4 linked regions of the Saccharomyces cerevisiae S288C genome follow. The protein of the gene in region 1 purifies or fractionates together with the protein of each later gene. This does not show direct contact. Each region holds a gene or a part of one and is shown on either strand. Other genes may lie near its edges. The genes, in order: SIP3, ENB1, CRH1 and SIT1.

Region 1 (7,145 bases):
GTAGCAGTTTTCTAGTTCTAGTATGTTCAAATTAGTTTTAACTTCTTTTATGAGATTTAAAAACGTCTTCAAATTATCTAGGATGTTCAGTTCGTTGGCTAGAATTGCCTCGCGTTGTAGTAGGTCACTAGAATCAAGTTCTAACTCACTGCCATTGGACCTTTTGCTGTCATTTTTTAATATTAAAGGATCCTTCAGTAACTCGCGTATTATTTCACCTTTGTTAGGAAAAAGAGACTCCATATCCAATCGAGAGACTTCGTGATTTGTAAAAGTTATGCGAATCAAACCACTTTTTTACTGACAAATTTAACGTAATCCTTTAAGACTATGAACCATGTTATGAAACATCTCTTAGTTCAACATGTCGCCTAATTGTATATCGCTATTGACGAAAGAGAAGTATCTTTCATGAGGTCAATAATAACGTTCAATGGTTAATGAGCACTATAATCATAAACAAATAATGACTTTGATAATTATATAATAGTTATATTCGCTCAAGTTATTGGTGGTCTTAACTTCTCGAGTTCTTCGTTACAAATAGAACAGTAATTTTGCAATTGAGTGTCATTAAACCAAAGATCAGTCATCTCTATAGACACCATCGAGCATTTATTTACTTCTTCCAGCAAGAATTTTTCGTAGTCGTCATGCACTAATTGTTTCTCCATGTCTTGGAGTATTCTAAGTTCAATTAGCAATTCATTTCTCCTCATAGCCAACTGTTTTCTCGTTTCGCTATACTGATAGTCCTTATTGAAATTGTCCTCGCTGAACTTCTCAAAAATGGGGTTATTTGACGGCACTGACAGTTGACTACTTAGCAAGTCCGAATCACTTATGTAAATGGCTCTTTGCATTGTGAACTTATCTGATCCAAGACGGTCGTGGAACAGTTTTTCAGCTCTCTTTATTGACCAGTAGGGCACTGATGCTTTTTCTGATAAAAGTATGTTTATCATAATAGATGCTAATAATCCGACCACCATCATTCGATTAATCCGTGAGAACTTTTCAGCACATAATAATAGAATACCGATAAGTATTCTGAAGAATACAAACGTCAAATTCGTTACTCTGTAAACCATTAGTTTGATAAACACTAGGAAAAGGATAGTACAAGAATACCTGATGTCATATTGCATACTTTCACTCTCTTTGGAGTTGCCATTTTTTTCAGTAGCAGGTTCTTCACTTTTGTTGCTGAGAACACCTAATATACCACATAGTTTGATAGCTTTGATAACTTTTCCGTGTTTGCCAATCTTTTCCAAGTAGTACCGTAACACCCTTCTTATCAGTAGGAATTCACTATGAGCAAATTTCAAGGCCCATGTTTGGCATATTATTTCAGCCAAAGATAGCTTTTCTATTGTTTTGCCAGTTCTACTATCAATATATTCTAGTTTGTATAGGACATGAAGCGATGAACTGCTCGCCGTCATATTCAACTTTATTTCAAGATGGTTATCTACATCATATGACTCAGTTATGACAAATTTAATTGAAAGCTTCAATAAATGACAAAATGGCACTTTAACGAAAAAAGGATCTAAATCGACTTCATAATATTTGTTATCAACAATTTTGACTATCCTCTGTGTAGCAAAAATCATTTTAGATTCCTTATCTCTATGATATTTACCAGTATTTAAAAAATTACCGGTCATATCCAATCGAAATGGTATCTTTCGAACTAATTGTGATTTCCCGTTGATGTCTTTGTTTTTATACCAAAAACGTTTCCCGTGTTCTTCCCCATCTTTTCTTGCTAAAAACAGGCATTTTGGAAAAGCATTCGATTTATCTCCAAATAGTATGTGGGCTAGTCCTTTACTAGATATTTCATATTCATGATTGTAAGTAATCGAGTACTCTGTCTGAAGTTTTTTGAGTCTGTTTAATAAAGTAGATGCATCATCGGACATCTCCCAAAATGTCACACGTGATTTGATGATTTTGGATACGCTGGTGGCCTTACGATCAAAGGAGTTTTCTTGTTCTATCTTATATAATTCTTCTTGTTTTTTTTCTTGAGATTCTTTTTCCATCTGTTCAAACTTTACTAAAATCTCTTCGTTACTATTTGGGTTTTTTATAGCCTTGTTTTCTAACAGATATTGCAACTTAGATGCAATAAGCTTATAGTCAGAAAATAAAACGATTGCTTTCATTTGTAGACCGCTGGCATCGTAAAGTTTTAAGGTCTTCTTTGATGATCTGTCGGCTTCTACAGAAACGATTTCAGACAAGCTGATCTTTGTAAGACAGATAAATTCCATAGAATTCATGTAGCAATAAATGTAGTCTTTTGTGCAAAAGCAGGTAGCTGAGAACTTCTGCTTTTTGTTAGGACACCACAATGCTTCAAACTTGAAAAGTAAAAGCTCTTCCGGTAGCTTCTCCAACCTTTGGTCCGGAGAAAATACTAATGACTTGAACTGTAGATCAAGCACTTTCAACTCATTAGAATAATATTGAGGATATATAGTGGAGTTTCTTATTGGAAGCCTTTTGCCATCGATCGTTAATAAAGAGGAGGGTTTCTTTCCCTTTCCTGGCAATATAGTATATTCACTCCAATCGGTCGTGCCCCATATATTCGCAAGAACAGCATTAGGGAACCAGCTACCTTTTGTGAGGAAATTAGACAGAATAGCCAGTTGTGTCATTTTTGTAGATATTGGTGTTGTTGGCATTTGGAACTGAAACACCTTCTCCTCTCCTAAAGTCAAAATATCATATTCAGAGATTGAGCAGTTCAGCGTTTCATACAAGGACTCGGTTTCTTTGTCAAATGTTGTGATTAATTGATCTATGGAGGTGGTTGTACTAGAGGCAAATTCAAAAAACTTGGGAGAAAATCTTTTAAACGCCAGCTCATATTCAAGACTATCATGTTGTATACTCATGACATACTTTTTTGTCGCTTCAAAAGCTATTAACCATGATTTCAAATCTAGATAATTTGAAGTTTGAAAGACCAACGTGATATCCTTTGACATGTTATCATGTGCCTCTGTTACTTTATTACCAAATATTTTTACTTCAAAACAAAATTTTCGATCTTCCTCTGGGTCATAGCGCACATTAGTAAGGAAGACACCAAACTTATCAGTTTCCTCCACGTAGGTCTTCGATGGCGACAAAAGGAACATACCAAAAACTGCATTTTTCAGAAAGCACCATCTTCTCACCCATATTTCCCTGGTAGGCTTTCCAACCTGTGTTTTCATATAAAGCCACCCAGACTTTTCGGGCGATTTTGGAGGCACTTGCGTATCCTTTGATAGCAGCTTCGAGGAATGTATTGATCTTATATTGTAATCACTTGTGTCACTTGACGGCGTAATTCGTTTCAAGGTATACCTATATGCTTGCTTTTTTGCATTACTGATATCAGAATCCAATACTTTCGATCCTTCGATGGAATTTTCTACCCATATTGCGTAATTGTCTAAATACTCATTAATGCAAGGAGATAAATCTATTTTCCTTCCAGAATCTTTCGTTATAAAAATGCTTCTTGACTTTAATACTTTCATTGACTCTAGTATGAATTTATCTAAGCTTAATTTTACTGCTGATATGGCACTTATGAGGTCTAGGGAGGCCTTAAGGTAGTTTTTTTGCACTTCAAATAATTGTAAGGCATCACTTTTGATAGAAGATGGCTCTAAACTGGTTTTTGAAATTCTTATAGCCTGGTAGGATGCCAGCATACTGTCATATTTACCTTGGTAAAAATCGAAATTTTTTCTCACGTTTCTGTAGGGTTCAATTGCAGTAGTCATAAGTTCTAATAGCGCGGTTGAGTGGCTAGAGTCATCACCCTTTACAATTTGCAGTAATTTCATAGAAAAGTCATAATAGTCCTTGTTAAAACTATCAATCAGCCTGGGAGTAAACGATTGGTTACTGACAAAACCGTTGCTCAGCAAGGCTGGAGGAGGTAACAATTGGGATAGGAGAGTTTCCTTTGCTCTTCGAAAATCTTCAAATGACACCTTATATTTCTGATCGAAAAAGTCGACAGTCTTCTCTATCCAATCCTCTAATGCATCCACCCTTGTTTGGAAGAAATTTACGGATGCACGAAAGGAAGGAGAGTCAATTGATGCTTCTTTGAATGCAACCGATATTAGCCTTAACTGCCTCTTTTTGGGATCCCTCCCGTGAACGGACATATTTCAAGTAATGATATATCTCTGCAATATGTCAATTGATCAACAGGTCTACTCATGCAGCTATGTTTTAGTTACACCTAGTAGTTTAAAATTTCACGTGTACTTTCCCTGTTTTGAACGCATTAGCAATAGCGCTGGTGTCGTTGCGCAAATTCATAATAAAAGGAAAATTTGAAAAACTTATGATAAATTGCAAGGTCATCGAAAACAGAAGAACAAGGTTTTTTCCTTTAGTAAATGCAAAATTAGTAAAAGTGATAGCGTCTTCTTTGATTAACAAGTTTCAATCTTTGCCTTTGGCTATGTCAAAGCTATTTTCTACTGTCAATTCTGCAAGACATAGTGTACCACTAGGCGGCATGAGAGATTATGTGCACATTAAGAAACTAGAGATGAATACAGTTCTTGGGCCTGATTCCTGGAATCAATTAATGCCTCAGAAATGTCTACTAAGCTTAGATATGGGTACAGATTTTAGTAAATCTGCGGCTACGGATGATTTGAAATATTCTCTAAATTATGCAGTTATTTCTCGTGATTTGACGAATTTCGTCAGCAAAAAAAAGAATTGGGGTTCTGTTTCTAATTTGGCTAAATCTGTGTCTCAATTTGTTATGGACAAATATTCTGGTGTCGAGTGTCTGAATTTAGAAGTGCAGGCGGATACAACGCATATTAGAAGTGACCACATATCTTGTATTATTCAACAAGAAAGAGGGAATCCAGAATCACAGGAATTTGACGTTGTTAGGATATCTGAGTTAAAAATGTTGACTTTGATTGGTGTTTTCACCTTTGAGAGACTTAAGAAACAGTATGTAACTTTGGATATAAAGTTGCCTTGGCCAAAGAAAGCCGAATTGCCACCGCCAGTGCAAAGCATAATTGATAACGTTGTCAAGTTTGTGGAGGAATCAAATTTCAAGACTGTGGAAGCTCTTGTAGAATCTGTGTCAGCTGTTATTGCCCATAACGAGTATTTTCAAAAGTTTCCAGATTCGCCTTTGGTGGTGAAGGTTTTGAAATTAAACGCAATCACAGCCACAGAAGGTGTTGGTGTAAGCTGTATTAGAGAGCCCAGGGAGATTGCGATGGTAAATATTCCATATCTTTCCTCCATACATGAATCGTCTGATATTAAGTTCCAATTGTCTTCATCACAAAACACTCCTATTGAGGGTAAAAATACATGGAAAAGAGCGTTTTTAGCGTTTGGTTCAAACATTGGGGACCGTTTCAAACACATTCAAATGGCGTTGCAATTATTATCAAGGGAAAAAACGGTTAAATTACGGAATATTTCGTCTATTTTTGAAAGTGAACCAATGTATTTCAAAGATCAAACCCCTTTCATGAATGGGTGTGTTGAGGTGGAGACATTACTGACCCCAAGCGAATTATTAAAATTGTGTAAAAAAATTGAATATGAAGAGTTGCAAAGAGTCAAGCATTTTGATAATGGTCCGAGAACAATAGATCTGGATATTGTTATGTTTTTGAATAGCGCCGGAGAAGATATTATAGTAAATGAACCGGATTTGAATATACCGCATCCTAGAATGCTGGAGAGGACTTTCGTTCTTGAGCCGTTATGTGAATTAATATCCCCCGTTCACCTTCATCCTGTGACAGCGGAACCCATTGTAGACCATTTAAAACAGTTATACGACAAACAGCATGATGAAGATACCTTATGGAAATTAGTTCCATTGCCTTATCGTAGTGGTGTGGAGCCTAGATTTTTGAAATTCAAGACCGCTACAAAACTTGACGAATTTACTGGAGAAACAAACAGAATTACTGTTTCACCTACATATATCATGGCTATCTTCAACGCTACACCAGATTCATTTTCCGATGGAGGTGAGCATTTTGCGGACATTGAAAGTCAATTGAATGATATCATTAAATTGTGTAAAGACGCATTATATTTGCATGAGAGCGTCATCATCGACGTTGGAGGGTGTTCTACCAGGCCTAACTCTATTCAGGCGTCTGAGGAAGAAGAAATACGCAGGTCTATCCCATTAATTAAGGCCATTAGAGAAAGCACTGAGTTACCGCAAGATAAAGTCATACTATCCATTGATACTTATCGTTCCAATGTCGCTAAAGAAGCGATTAAAGTTGGAGTGGATATTATTAATGATATTTCGGGAGGTTTATTTGACAGCAACATGTTTGCCGTAATTGCAGAGAACCCAGAAATTTGTTATATTTTATCACACACACGTGGTGATATTTCAACGATGAATAGGCTGGCGCATTACGAAAATTTTGCATTGGGTGATTCTATTCAGCAAGAATTTGTTCATAATACCGACATTCAGCAGCTAGACGACTTGAAAGACAAAACAGTGTTAATCAGGAATGTTGGTCAAGAAATTGGCGAAAGGTATATCAAAGCGATTGATAATGGAGTAAAGCGCTGGCAAATTCTAATCGACCCTGGACTTGGTTTTGCTAAGACCTGGAAGCAAAACTTACAAATTATTAGACATATCCCCATTTTAAAGAACTACTCATTCACCATGAACTCAAACAATTCGCAAGTGTATGTTAACCTCAGAAATATGCCCGTTTTATTGGGTCCATCGCGCAAAAAATTCATTGGACATATCACAAAAGATGTGGATGCGAAGCAAAGAGACTTTGCTACTGGAGCGGTGGTAGCGTCGTGTATTGGTTTCGGCAGCGACATGGTTAGGGTCCATGACGTTAAAAATTGTTCGAAGAGCATTAAATTAGCAGATGCTATTTATAAAGGTTTGGAATAAAGGTTAGTTATATAGATTAAATATGTAATTCTGTTTTGTAATAATTTTTTTTCCTGTTTCATAATAAAGAATCGTTAAAAATAACCAAGGGAGGAAACAAGTGAAATGAAGTATAGAAAAGATATAGAAAATAAACTTAAATATTCAGTTTACTTGTGCTTCTTTTTTCCCCTCTATG
Region 2 (5,233 bases), on another chromosome or scaffold:
TAATTGTTAGGATTTTCATTATTATTGAAGGCTATAATATTAGGTATGCAGGATATGCTAGAAGTTCTCCTCAGATATATAGCAATTCATGAAGGATCGTCGATTATTCTATAGAATAGTATTATTACTTCACTTTCCATTTTATATGTTGTGATTCATTATCTTATTACATTCCTAATTCTTGAGTGTCAGCTTTCACTAAATTTCATGGCTGTTTCTCTATCTTTATGTCGCCTTCACTTATTTCTACACTCCTCAAGATTAAGTATCTAATTTTTGTAGGAAAACGACACTGCAAAGAGTGGATCAATATATAATAACATGTTTTAAATAAACGTCTACTTATGATGGAAAACATTAACTTGTGAGTTAGGATTTTTTGTATATGAGATATTTTAAAGAAAATTTAGTTCCAAAGGAGAAAATGACTTGCACAAAAATGACATGGGCAAAATACCTAATATTAAATGAGCTCTATCTACAATCCGTGCAGCTATACATACTTTCACGCTTGTTATACATTAATCAGCGAACCATTATAAGTATGGGGCCACTAATATTTCATATATTCTCTGATCTGAGACTGTTGGAGTCGATTTCTCGCACAATCAGCACTGGTTAAAATTTCGTGGGGTTACTGCTTCTTTTAAGTCGGTCAATGTTTTCTTCATTCTTTCGAACTTTGAATATTTTTTATGACGTCAATTATAAGAAGTATGAAAGTCAGGTTAGCAACAGCTAAAACTAAATAATAAAGGGCTCAAGCAGGCTTACGGCAGGTGGTGATTATATTTACACTACTAATTTTTTTTAATTCGTTTACGCTCTAGTAAAAGTTCTTCGCAACATTTTTTTTTATATTTCTTTATAAAAACTACGGGAAATGACAGGTGCGAATAATCTCATTGATTTTTGTATTGTCAAGCCCATTTAAGACTATAATATTGCTGAAATAAACGTAACAAACGTATGGATATTCACTTAGTTAGAAAAGAAAAATAAAATAAAACTAATTCGAACTTTTTGTTGTTTTTTATTTCAGACAACAATATTATACTGTTACACGCCATTATTGATTACTACTTACATTAACAGTGATTATTTCAAAGAGAATTCTAGTTCAGGAAAGAGCTTAACACTATATTTGTATCGCTAGTACTCTCCAGCTCAATATCCAATTACACGACGGAGCCATGATTGTTGTTTGATTTTGAGCTTCTCTTTCTCTCGTTCTTCTGCGGAAAGACTTTGCTTCTTGTTTACAGTAAAGCCACGCAAGAAAAAACAGAGAACAGCATTGAAAGCCGCAAACGAAATGGACACAATTATCAATAAGCGTTGAATCTTCGAATAGGATTCTATCATCTGAACACGAACCTCTGATCCAATAGGGTATTTTTTTAGATAATTGAGTGGTGATTTGTAGATTGCCATCCCTAAACTAGAGCCGAGTCGCTGTATCAACTCCTTTGCCAGACGCTGAGTCCATATAGCACCAGCGATGGAAGCACCTACTGCGTCTCCGATTTGATAAACGGACATTAGTAACCCAGTGACAGTTGCCATCTCATTGTGGGTGGTTGAAGCGTGCACTAGCGTCCACATAGGAAAACGTATCATACCACCAGCTATACCGACCACAATCTCAGCGCCAATAAGACCCGAAATCCCGTCATATACCACCCTGTATTTGTACAAAAGACCCATTCCGATGACACCAAGAAGCGACCCAGCGACTACAAAGACTTTCGGATGAGGATAGAAATGCAGCATAATGCCGACAACAATATTAGTGCATGACTGTAGAAAATTGTAAAGCTGAGCTATCCGCTGCGCACTTAATGTTGATTCTCCGAATGCTACCATTAACACGGTGACCAAATACTCTAACTCAATCTGCAAACCTAGACGCCATACAAATTCCATTAGCAATGCAACGTAGATGGTTGGATCACCTAGATATACTCGTGGGATAAATGGATTCTTAGCAAATTTTAATTCCCAAATTAGAAAGATAAAACCTAAGCAGCCACCAACCACAATCATTGCAATAATGTGACCCTCTCTCCATTTGGAGGTGGCTCCACCAGCTATTGTGAGAGGTAATAATACTAAAACTAAGAAAGCAGTGAAAAGAATGACTCCAATTAAGTTTATGTCATCCGCAAATTTCCAGAGCGTTTGACGCAGGGTCTGTCCTTTTTCTTTCAATTTTAATGGTGGTAACTTACCGCTGCGCCAGGAAATGTACTGAGCATACACATAGGGAAGGACCAATATTAGGGTGGAGATGGGCACAATGATGCAAAAAATTCCATAGCCCCAACGCCATTTATATGGTGCAACATTACCAGCAACTGAGCTAACAATATTTCCACTTACCCATGTGTTTATAATCACGGGAATCAGAAATATGTTCATCGCAAATGTACGATCTCTCAATCCAGACAGATCACCAGTCAGTGCTGTAGCAAGAAGACGAAATCCAGAATAACCGAACTGTTGTATAACAATACCTGCAAAAAGTCCGGAAAACGTTGGAGTAGCAGCAGAAATAATTTCTCCAATAGTATAGAGCACAAGCGCAAAAATCCAGCATTCTATACGTCCAAACCGATCAGATATACGTGCGTATGGCACTGCGACAACAGAGGCTACTATTGATTTGACGGTATTGATCGATCCTACTTGAGAATGCTTTCCAAAACTGTTAGCGGCATAGGTTTGTATTGATTGCGAAATCTGCCCTCCGAGTCCAGTACAGTAACCCTGCAAAAACAGAGCCACCAGTAGGGCGGTCTTGAGTGAACTAAACGTAACTCCAAAAGCTGTGAAAGAGCTGTAGTCAGACAAGACCTTGTTGACAGCGTCTATACGGCGCAAGCCAGACGTGGTAGACTTCTCAACATTGCTATCTGTCTTTTCGCTGTAGCAGACAGTGCTTTTATCGTCTAAATTGTCATTCCTAGAGTGATCAGTTTCCAGCATTTTCAGAGAGACATTCACGAGCACTTTTTTGCTATATTAGAGTTCTGCTAGGACCCAAACCATCATTTCAATTAAATAAGTCATCTCTATTATCCAAACATAGACCCTTCGCCACTCAAAAGCCACAGAGGGGTGCAATTGTAAGCCGTGGCAGCCTCTATAATAGTATACATTTGTATCACATTTGGGTGCAATAATTTAAACAGATTTTTGCAGTTGACTCAGGACTAAGGGCAATTCTTGCCCAAACTACGGAACCCTGTTTCTGATCCGAAGGGCTTATAATCCATAGAAACCCTTACATTTGCTCACTGAAAACCCTGTGTCCTTATTTGGTATATATGATGCGAGGATTAAACGAAAACGGAAAATTTTAGGTTTGAGGGTCCCATTAGTTCAACTAAAAAAGAAAAACGAAAAAAAAAAAAAACAAAGTCAAACCATAAAAAGTTTTGAACTACAGAAAATGTAGGCTTGTCTATTCTCCTGAATTTGACTTTTTTTTTTTCTAACTTTTTCACACCCCTTCATTAACTAATTAAAACTGTCGTAGAATTTCCCTTCATTTTTATTCAGCCATCCTCAGTTAGGAACGATTGATACAGCCTTCATTCGTCATTTCGTGACTTGCATGTTGGATTGGAAAATTTGCTGGCGGAGCAAAGTCAAGACGTTCAGAGGGAATAGTAAATGAGATTGTACGAACCGGTGAATATATTTTGCTGGCTAGATTTTAAATGGCCATTGTGTTATTGCTCTATCAACATAAAAGAAAGTATATGTGTTTTCAGAATCGTAAAATTTGTGACAAACTAAAAATCAGTATCTTCATAAAAGTAGTAGAGACATTTCATAGGTACGTTCCGCCCTTAGATAAATGTGGCTGCAGTTCATAATGCAGTGTGTAGTAGAGATGATTCTGTTGATCATAAACAATAATATATAATTTCACTAGTACTTGTTCTTATATGCACATAACTCGCCGTATTATCTGGCCAAATGAGCTATAGAGTAACCCTTCTCTCAGCATTATTATAATACAATACCAATGCAAGGACATATGGAAAATGCTACACAAAACTATACTTTAGTGTATTACATAACTCATACCGCACTACCAGATATATGTCGTTACTATTTAAAGTGCGGTATGTAACATAGATAAAAATAAGTATATGTATATGTATAAAAATCTTGTCGTCACAATCATCAATCATTCAGATATGTAAATTCTGCCCTCCCATGGCTTCAATGTTCTGGAAGACGCATCAACTTCGCTTCTTGGGTAGTTTCCGAATTCCAACTTAAACGACGAGCTATTGTTTGGAATCGTGAAGTCAATCGAATCAGAGCTGAAGTTCAAAGCAGCAAACAATGTTTTGTTGTCGTATTTCTTTGTGAAGCTGAACAGTTTCTTATTGTCCAAATCAATAAACTCAAAATCATATCCATATACAGTAATATCCTTGTGTGCCTTTCTAAATCTCAAGGCCTCCTTCCAGAAGTTCAAAACCGAGTTGGGATCCTTGGATTCGTCTTCAGCGTTAATTCCTTCCCTGAAAGACTCGTTCAAGTAAAACCATGGTTTAGCATTAGGACCAGAAAAACCAGCATTTGGCTCCTCACGAGACCATTGCATAGGTGTTCTAGCATGGTCTCTGGAAATAAGGGCAATTGCTTCCAAAAACCTCTTCATCTCCTTCGAGTTTTCTCCATGCTCTTCCTTGATCGCATCATAGTTATTTCTAACTTCGACATCCTCGTATTTTTCGATAGGCCAGTTCTTGAAATTGATTTCACCCAGTTCCTGTCCTTGGTACACATATAGAGTACCGCTCAGTGACACCAACAACACAGACAACAACTTACCAGAAATAACACGGTTCTTAGGAGAATCGTCACCAAATCTGGTAATTGAACGAGGTTGGTCGTGATTTTCCAGATAAATTGTTGACCAACAATCAGTTCCGTTAACGTATCTGAAAAGTTCAGCAAGGGCAACCTTCCAATCCTTTAGTTCATATGGGATCAAATTTTGACGGAACTTGGGCGAAGTCCCGACATCAGTGTGGGAAAAGTTGAATAACTCACTAAGTTCGTGTCTTGATGCACTTGTATACAACCTCTTGGTTTCATCAGTAGCATGTTGCATTTCACCAACTGTCATAATTTCTCTGCCATCCTTCACTCTGTTTCTGATGAACTTGTTCATTTCTTGATGAAACTCATGGATACGTGGTCCGTT
Region 3 (4,703 bases), on another chromosome or scaffold:
GGGGATAAAAGGATTAATGAGAGGTGACGTATAAAATCAAGATAAGAAACCATTACATAAAACGTTCAATTGCCTTTCTACTTGCATGTTTTCAATACCTCAAAAGGAGAATGTTTTGATATATGTTATATATCATTATTGTCTTCGCTAAGAACGAAATCTAACAATTCTATTTTGTAATTTACCTATTCAGCATATAATTGTTACAGAATTGGATTTTTATGTTCCTTGAGATAGCTTTCGATATTTTCTTCGTACAGCGTCGATGTCTCTAGTTTTTATCCAACCGCACTTTATATTTTAACGTTTGATGGTTTTCTATCTTGGCAGCGTTAGAACTTGATGACAATTTATGGAACTTAGTTTCCTATTAGAAAGGGTAACTGTGGCATAAATGTAATAGAAGTTTTCTTCGAGAATTATAAACTGTTAGAATAAGGACTACAACTATCATCTATTGTTGGAATGAAACTCTAAATTATCTTTTATTTAGTAGTATTCGTTTTACTAATATATTATCATATACGGTGTTAGATGATGGCATAAGTTATGAGAAGCGGTCATTGAAGTTAGAGGAAGCTGAAATGCGAGGATTGATAATGTAATAATGAAACATATAAAACGGAATGAGGAATAATCGTAATATTAGTATGTAGAAATATAGATTCCATTTTGAGGATTCCTAGATCCTCGAGGAGAACTTCTAGTATATTCTGTATACCTAATATTATAGCCTTTATCAAACAATGGAATCCCAACAATTATCTCGAAATTCACCCATCTCTCAGAATTATTCACCCAAATCTCAGAAGACTAAAAAAGAAAGAAATGTGGATAATCGAGTCTATAGATTCTTAATTACATATTAAACCTGAGAGGTCAGATTTCCAATAATAGAATAGCCTTGTTGGCGCAATCGGTAGCGCGTATGACTCTTAATCATAAGGTTAGGGGTTCGAGCCCCCTACAGGGCTTTCTTTTTTTCTTTAAAACACGATGACATAAATTTCCTTTGTATGAACCGTACCCTTAATAATAAAAGGAAAAATCATGCTTTAGGTATAAGACTTTCTGTTGTATTAAAATTTAGTATTTATTTTTATTATGCTATTATTTTTTTCGGTCTCAAATGTTACTTAGTGATCTACGAATATTGTTCTAAAAGAAATTTTCCACTTATAGCAAGGCTAGTAAAGCTACGAGTACGGAAAAAAGTTTTCCCTCTCTTGGTAAACTCTGAGCTAAATCAGCACCGTTAGAAATTTGAACAGAGTTTGTCGAGCTGGCTTCGGAGGAAGAACTTTGGATTGTAGATGTGTATTTGCTTGATATCTGGGTAGTAGAACTGGTCACGTCATTACTTGATGTTGCGACACCACCCTTATCTTGTACAGGACTGTCCGATGATACGGAAGATTGTTGAGTAGTTGGGGCAACTGTAGACCTAGTGGTAGAGGAAACAGTGGCTGGGGTCTTAGTGGAGGAAATAATGGACTCACTTGTAGAAGAGGAAGCCACTGTTTTCTTGGATGAAGAGGAGGATTGCTTTTCGAATGAACTAATGGAACTAGATGTGGTGACTGATGAGGAAGCAAGTGTTTTAGATGAAGTAGCGGTCGAAGAAGATGGAGATGTGGATGAAGAGGAAGATACAGAAGACGAAGAAGATACAGTGGAAGAAACCGAGGAAGACACAGTGGAAGAAGCCGAGGAGGACACAGTGGAAGAAACCGAGGAAGATACAGTGGAAGACGCCGAGGAAGATACAGTAGAAGAGGATGTAGAGCTGCTGGAAATACTACCACCGTTGGCTAAAACTGCGAAATCTTCTTGGGCTTGGTCATACCTGCCGTAAATAGAACCACCGTCAGCTTCAATAGATTCCCAAGAACCAGATTGGTCACCATATGTGTACTTTTTACCGGTAGAATAATCAGTTACAATGACCTTTTCAATGTACATAGTGAATGGAGCGTCATTGTAGTTGGTTTCACCACCAGCCCATTCAATGGTACCAGCAGCATTGTCTGGGTCACCACCGGCCCAGATACCCATCATTAGGTACATAGGAGATTGTGGGTAACCCTCACTTGATGTGTTTGATAATACTCTGACAGACTCTCCATCGAGGTACCAAGTCGTCTTGTCCATCGCCCAATCTAAAGTGTAGTTATGAAATTTGTCGGTAGGAGTGTCGACACCGTGAAATTCGCCTCTGTCGTATGTTGTGGTATCACCTTTAGAAAAGAAGTTAGATTGGAACTGAGTGTTGTCACCACCCACCCATTCAATATCAATTTCATCCAAATCATCACTTTGTAAATAGAATGATGAAACAATACCGGTACCATTGGCAGCTTTTAAGATAACTTCCAATTTACCATACATGATATAAAAGTTAGACTTCAAACTTGGATTATCGTATCTTTTCGCCAGTGTCATTGACAAACCGTCTGAACCGTACTTGATTTCACCTGCGTGCTTCAAGTCGGTAAACCATTTGGATGAAGATGAGAAATCTTCGCTAAAACTAGTTGCCAAAGCTGTATCCGGCGTACAACCTGTAGTTTTTAACGGGTTACACGAAGCAGTGCTAGAAGCTGCAGTTGTACTGTCTGCAGTAGCAGTACTTTCGGCAGCCGCGAATGTAGATAATAATGAAGAGGCACTGAGTACCGTTAGTAGGTCAAGCACTTTCATGGTTTTTTGCTGTATTGAATTATTATGAATATTATATTATCTTAACCTTTCTCTTGCTATTTAGTAGAAATGTAGAATATGGAGAGGAGTAGGCAATTATTGAAAGTTCCAAAAGTGTTTCACCTTTTGTTCTTTTTCATGTTACTAACCAGCAAGTATTTATATAACATCCATTGTTGCATGAGGGAAACCAGTAACCATACGCTCTAATTATATCACATTCCCGATTCGGAAACATTGCTTCTTGATCGAGCGAAAAGAAACTGCCCTTGCAATTAATAATGTCATTTTCGTATCCCATACCACGAAAAGCAAGCCCTCAGAGGTTCTAATGCATTATAGCTCAGATCTATTTTTACTTTCCTGGAAAACGCCATCGAAATAGTCGCCAAAAAAATCGATGGGCTGGGAAAACGCGTCATCAATTCAACCGAATAAGGAAAACTAAGCCACTTCACGCGGTTCGCGATATTTGTCCAGCCTCTTTTTCCGAAAAAAAAAAAATTAAATAATAAAATGAAACGGACAGGAATTGAACCTGCAACCCTTCGATTGCAATCTTATTCCGTGGAATTTCCAAGATTTAATTGGAGTCGAAAGCTCTACCATTGAGCCACCGCTTCATCTTGAAATATCGAAGATATAACATTTTACTTGTCTGCCGAAATTCTGTGTTTGCTATAATGTTTGAATTAGAATCTCTTAAAATAGCTACTCATACTTCTTCATAACTAATCCATTAGTGACCATATGAAGTAATCGGACGCCACACATCATTGATGTTTCACGATGGAGAATGATAACACACTAAGTGGCATTGTGGGCAAAGTAAGTTAAACACCTATTGCTCAAATGATCAACTTGGTGTTTGCACATATACGGATGTAAGTCATGACATTGAAATCATAATATGCTTTCATGATAATCATATGAGCATGTTTAATATTACTAATAAGGCTGTATTCTATACTTCTCTTATATAGAATAAGAAGATCTGCATTTATTCTTGATTGACACTACAGTTCAACAATTAATTACCAACAGAATTAATTACTACCTATCGTTCACAAGCTACTACGTTATCATACACAATGTAAAAATATGACACAAAAATGGAAAACCGTCATCAGATTTAATGGGGCTGAAACACAAGAATTCATAATGTGATAGAATAATGGGTGAAGTGTATAAAGAAGAATATATAATATTACTGTGTAGAAATATCAATTTCCCTTTGTGAGTTCTCATAACCTCGAGGAGAAGTTTTTTTACCCCTCTCCACAGATCGATACTTATCATTAAGAAAATGGGACACCAAGGTTACGGAAAAATCTACCCGGTCTACCTAATTACTCTCTTGGCGCACTAGTTTTCCGAAAAAAACAGGTAAATTCTTCTTTAGATAAAGATAAATATAAAACTTCACAGCCATTCACTCACACAAACTAGTCCCTTAGGGTGCGTATAATGATCTGTACATCTTATTTCTATATATCTTACCGTGTATTTTTTCTTTTCTCAATTCTTGTTCGCAAATAAAAAGATATTCGTGTTTGTGGAAGAACACTAGTTCCGTTTTGTATTCAACCTGGAAATTTACAATAGATCTTCATCATCGTATGTCTACCATGTTAATCTCCCGTTAAACTGTTTCACGTTATCAAGATTATGTCATCTATTCCTGGGCGAACATAATTCCTTACAAAAACATTTGTCATTACACAAGTGTAAGGGGTAATGAAAAGTAATTTTGTTACAAGTACGCAAAATTCGTTTATTTCAAGAAACACTAAGGATCGTCATTTCCCTTTCTGACCGATGTTCCTTCTTTTTGCTATTTTTTTCCCGAGTCATCTCATCGTTTTGAGTTTTTCCTAGTCCATTAAATTGTCACCTTACTCTCGGAAAAAAGAAACGACAAATGCTCCTAGTGCCGTTTTTCGAAGCTTGAAAAAAAAAATTGCAAATTATTTAATTTTGCTGCTAAGGAGTTGAAGTAGGTG
Region 4 (5,421 bases), on another chromosome or scaffold:
TTATCATACGTAGCCCTCGGATTTATAGTTGATTGGACGTTAAGACTTATTGTCATTAACTTGACTCTTGCTGGCAAGAGAACATACCAGGGTACGGTCGAACATGTAATGGGTAAAAAAGGGAAATTGCTGATTCTATTTACAAACGGGTTATTTGCATTTGGTGGATGTATTGGTTATTGCATAATTATTGGGGATACGATACCCCACGTACTCAGAGCTATATTCAGCCAGAACGATGGTAATGTACATTTTTGGCTCAGGCGAAATGTCATAATTGTAATGGTCACTACTTTCATTTCCTTTCCGTTATCAATGAAGAGAAACATAGAGGCACTATCAAAGGCATCTTTCTTGGCCGTTATAAGTATGATTATAATTGTACTGACAGTGGTAATTAGAGGACCTATGCTGCCCTATGATTGGAAAGGTCATTCTCTGAAGTTATCTGATTTTTTCATGAAAGCTACTATATTCAGAAGTCTCTCTGTCATTTCCTTTGCGTTGGTTTGTCATCATAATACTAGTTTTATTTTCTTTTCCATGAGGAATAGAAGTGTGGCAAAATTTACCAGGTTAACGCATATCAGTATCATTATCTCAGTAATATGCTGTGCACTAATGGGATATTCGGGATTTGCAGTTTTCAAAGAAAAAACAAAAGGCAATGTTTTAAACAGTTTCCCAGGAACAGACACTGCTATCAACATAGCCAGACTCTGTTTCGGATTTAACATGCTAACCACATTCCCCATGGAAATTTTTGTTTTGAGAGATGTTGTCGGTAACTTGTTACATGAATGCAACCTTATTAAAAATTATGACGAACACACTCAATTATCAGGTAAACAGCACGTCGTTATAACTTCTTCACTAGTCTTCATCACCATGGGTATATCATTAACTACATGTAATTTAGGAGCATTATTTGAACTGATTGGGGCCACTACGGCATCGACTATGGCTTACATTTTGCCGCCATACACAAATTTGTTGTTAACTAGTAAGAAGAAGAGTTGGAAGGAAAGGCTTCCTTTCTATCTTTGTATATGCTTTGGTTTCATGATTATGATAATCAGCAGCACCCAAACTATTATTGATGCAGTTAATGGTTCTGATGGACAGCACTGCCAAATATAGGGTATTTTTTCTTTCTGCTGGGTTTTAAAAAACTAGTTTAGTTACCTCATTGGAACTCAAATATTTATCCACTTTGGATAGTATATACGTCAAATTCTTTTGGTATTTTATCGCCGAGAAGTCGGTAGAGCCAGCATCAGATGCAAAGCCATGCAAAGACTGATATAAAGACTGTTATACCAAATGTTATGATATGTTCTTGACTATGTAGTAGCTATATGTGCATGTATGAAATTATTTGGGTGAGATAATATTAATCTTTCCTATCTTTACTGCTTGTAAAGTGCGTAAAGAATTTATTTTTCAAAAAACTTTCTTCCTTTTCCTCAATTTCAAAGGTGTTTTTACTTTCCAAATGATCATTGCCTTCAAGAGCAATAGAATCTGTTAGTTTATGATTTCTCAACATGAATGCGCAACCTAACAAAGGAAAGCAGAATACCAAACCTATGATACATAAAATCTTTTGAACATAGCGGTAAGACATGACTAAAGCTATTCTTTCTGGTGTTCCCCAGGTATAAGTTGTAATGAATGTAAATGGAGAACCGTACGCTTGTGCAGCTAAGGTTGGATCGGAAATTCTTTTTGAAATTTCTTTGGGTAGGATATTAGTCCAGACAGCTCCGCTAACAGAACTACCAAATGCAGAACCAATATTATAAGTGGCAAGGTATAATGAGGTTACTACCGCCATTCTTGCATGAGTTTTAGCGGATGCTTGGATGGAAGCTTGAGTCACATAGGTAAATGAACCTGCACCGAAACCTAATAGACACAAAGAGCCAATGATACCGGAATGAGCACCGGAGTCACCACGGTAATGGACCAGCAAACCAAATGAGACGATCCAACAAGAAATGCCAAATATAATAAAAGGCTTAGTCCTTCTAACTTTAATCAGTATGAACCCGAGGATTGTACCAACGATAACAGAAACAAATGAATACAAGGAGGTAATTCTTGTAGCGGACTTTATGGATTCATGAACTGCAACGACTAGTACAGTATACATGTAATCACCTTGCATATACCAGTTAAAATTGATAAAGAATGCGATGAGTAGAGCGAAAAAGATACCTCTATCTTGAATCAAGTCCCAAGGTGTCAATGGATGTCTCGAGTACTTTATTTCCCATAGCATGTACAGTGGTAACACTACAACCCAACCAATGACTTCAGGGACAATAATATGCGCAGTTTTCCATTCCTCTTTCAAACCACCCGCTAAGGTGAATGGAACCAATACACACCCGAAAAATACAGTAATTAATAACATTCCAATGATATCCAATTTCCAAAATGCGATGTCTATACAAAAGGACTTCCACTTCAATTTGTTTAGCGCTTCGAACTCGGGCTTCAATCTATCTTTAGCATGCTTTCTTGCTAAATACCTCATGTGCAACATACAAATTCCAAGCGGAATACAAGCTAGCGGCAGTATAAAAGCCCACATACCAATACCCCATTTCCAATTAGCATCTATGGCACTTGTTACGTTCCCGCTAATCCAGGTGTTGATGATAAATGGTAAAGCTGGAATGAATAAGGCTAACAACCTCCAGTTCAAGTTGGAAAAGTCAGAAGCAATAACTTCCAAAATTAGAATAATACCGGTAAGACCCAATTGGTAAAAACAACCACCAACTGCAAATCTTGTAATATTCACCGCTTGCGACTCAATGATGGTCCCCATGCTATAAAAAATGATACTGACAATCATAATGGAAAATCTGCCGAAGATATCTGATAATCTGGCAAAGAAGATCTGGCCTACAGCCGCAATAACCGTCTTAATACAGTTGACGGTCGATAGCAGCGAGTGCTGGGAGTACGACGAAGTCGCGTACGCCTGGAAAGTGTAACGGATATTACCATCTAATCCGTAAGCATAGGCAATGAGGAAAAGTGAGAAGAATAATGCGACACGGTAGATCGGGCGGTTGTACATTTCTGCGTAAATCTCGATGTTATGCACACCTGGATCTATCAATTCAATGTAAGAAGGTGCTGGAGAAGATGTGGTTAGCGTTGGCTTGACATCGACCTTGGCTCCTACTTCCTTTTCCAGCATCTCGGGAACGACAACCTCTTCAAATTCCTCGGGGAGGGTATGATTAGCAATACCAGGGTCCATTATGGAAAAATTTTCGTACTGGGTCTTTAACAGTTCTTTTACAAAGCACTACGATGTTCTAGCCTCATCGGTGATGGACGGTGTCCATTGCTTATATAGTATCTGCAAATCATCGCATCACAAAAGTAAATTAAAGGATCACGGATGAGCACTACTAATTATGGCAAAAGACGAACCAGATTGCACCCTCAAATGTGTTCTTTACGGCACATTGTAAACGATGAACTTCGGGGTCTTCCCAGCAGATAAGTTTCTTAAAATGCACCTGGATTAAGCTGCAAGTCATTCTGTGCCTGCGCCGTACGGCGCTTGCGATTAAATCGGAGAACAAACTATGAAAAGCCAATAAGAAACTATTTCACTGGGAAAAAGTGGGAAAAAAGCTTCGCAAGTGAGCCTATAGAAGCTAGAGTTATCTCTATACACAGTAGTCTACATTACACAGCGGTTTCAGTATCCGTTTCTCTTGTAAAGAACCTTATCTGTCTTGTAAGCCACTTTGGTGTACAGCAACTGTGCGCGGTGATTGTAATGGTCTGTAACCCAGTACACTGCAGGCGTACCGAGCTCATCGGCACGGCTGTATACAAATTCTATGAGCTTTCTACCTACGCCTTTGACTCTTGCGCGTTCAGTGACATATAAGTCATTCATGTAGACAACTTCTTCGACATGCCACGACGTCAAATGGTTCAGGTAGTGTGCAAAGCCAATTGCATCGCCGGTCTCGGTGTCAAAGGCTAGAGCACCCCATAGTTTGACCGTAGGGTCTATAAACCTTGCGAAGGTAGTGGTGGCTACTTCCGGAGGCATAACCGTTTTTTGGAAACCCTGATACTCCTTCCACAGTTTGTTCCAGGCTTCCTCATCTTTTGGCTCGATGGCCTTCACCACAATTCGATCGTTAACCATTTTTTCCGGTTCTTCGTTTGACATGCCTACGTTCTTCGTGCTTGCAAAAGGTGGAGATGGGTCTGGGGTCTTTTTCATTAGTCTGCACTCATCTATTTTATATGCCCGTTTTCCGCTTTTAAATATCTTGTCGCAACACTCTCCAGTATACTGTTCGCGAAGGTTTCCGCCTGATAACGATTTAATAACCGGATTGGGAAATATACGATGCGGTCAATTGGTGAAAAAGGCCTTACGCAGAGTATGCAATGTACCGCCTGATCATCAGCTGATCGCTTCAGTGCGATCGATTGGATATGCTAGAGTAGCATTCGTGTTTTGTACGTGTACGTCTGAATGTCGGGATAATTTGCAGAGTGTGACAAGAACTTCAGGCCATCAAACAACAATTAGTCAACCATGCACAGATATACAGTCAACACGGAAGTGCTCGACCATTTTTGTCTCTGCTGTTATGCAAACGGGAACTATAACTTTCTTCTGGACGTTCCATTTCCCCATCCCCTTACAACGCATAGTAAACCAAAAGCAGCCACCGCCTCAATCCTACGTTTAATACAAAAGTGAAGAACTACAATGGTTTAATTCTACTAGACGGCATGCTAACCTGAAAAACTCAAGCATTTTTATCTTTTCAGTCGGTCGTAGCTCTCCAACGGTTGTTTTTTCACAGTATATACTTTTTCATATTATCAGGCGAAAGATACGAGAAAGCCAAAATCAGGCACATTGAAAGGATAAAGCCAAAATCAGGTATACTGAAAGGATGAAAATTTTGGCACTAGCCGTCGCCTTTCAAGGCTTGGCATTGGTATGCTGTACGGATACAACAGACAATTATAACAATTTTACGCATAATACATCGACATTTTACCGCATAGCGGATTATGATAAGAGATTTTGGAGCGTAAAACTACCACCAGTGAATTGGACTACTTGCGGTAATGAAGATCATCCATGGATTACTATCCACTACGACGAGATTGATAAACTCGTTGACGATAAACTGGCAAGTTGGGACAAAGGACCTGTTCCCGATCGTGAAGAATTTAGGAACTCCATCCTTAGACAAGCGAGATGCGACCGCCCACATTACTAGCCATCAATTCTTAATCATTGTAAGCAAGAACTGTCCACTCTAACATTTAGTAGGCTCTCAAACATATGTTAACATAGCACCACTAATTGCACTTCTGATTTAATTGAAGAAAACGGCGTTAAGTGTTTCA

What was found.
Region 2: the proteins of SIP3 (region 1) and ENB1 purify together in Saccharomyces cerevisiae (affinity purification with mass spectrometry, with the first as the bait; one large-scale study listed by BioGRID). This does not show direct contact.
Region 3: the proteins of SIP3 (region 1) and CRH1 purify together in Saccharomyces cerevisiae (affinity purification with mass spectrometry, with the first as the bait; one large-scale study listed by BioGRID). This does not show direct contact.
Region 4: the proteins of SIP3 (region 1) and SIT1 purify together in Saccharomyces cerevisiae (affinity purification with mass spectrometry, with the first as the bait; one large-scale study listed by BioGRID). This does not show direct contact.

What each region holds. Positions count from the first base shown.
Region 1 is NC_001146.8:160,131-167,275, forward strand, and holds SIP3 (Sip3p), read right to left. Parts: upstream 4,191-7,145; coding exon 501-4,190; downstream 1-500. Other genes in the region: DSL1 (Dsl1p), read right to left, coding at 1-243; trifunctional dihydropteroate synthetase/dihydrohydroxymethylpterin pyrophosphokinase/dihydroneopterin aldolase FOL1, read left to right, coding at 4,493-6,967. UniProt on the Saccharomyces cerevisiae protein: May be involved in sterol transfer between intracellular membranes.
Region 2 is NC_001147.6:18,324-23,556, forward strand, and holds ENB1 (Enb1p), read right to left. Parts: upstream 2,989-5,233; coding exon 1,168-2,988; downstream 1-1,167. Other genes in the region: oligo-1,6-glucosidase IMA2, read right to left, coding at 4,202-5,233.
Region 3 is NC_001139.9:875,493-880,195, forward strand, and holds CRH1 (transglycosylase), read right to left. Parts: upstream 2,701-4,703; coding exon 1,177-2,700; downstream 1-1,176. UniProt on the Saccharomyces cerevisiae protein: Dual chitinase/transglycosylase that plays a role in cell wall architecture. Chitinase and transglycosylase activities are coupled. Required for the polysaccharide cross-linking at the septa and the cell wall.
Region 4 is NC_001137.3:25,516-30,936, reverse strand, and holds SIT1 (siderophore transporter), read right to left. Parts: upstream 3,281-5,421; coding exon 1,394-3,280; downstream 1-1,393. Other genes in the region: AVT2 (Avt2p), read left to right, coding at 1-1,140; HPA3 (D-amino-acid N-acetyltransferase), read right to left, coding at 3,731-4,216; YEL067C (uncharacterized protein), read left to right, coding at 4,161-4,748; YEL068C (uncharacterized protein), read left to right, coding at 4,959-5,291. UniProt on the Saccharomyces cerevisiae protein: Involved in the transport of siderophore ferrioxamine B and so has a role in iron homeostasis.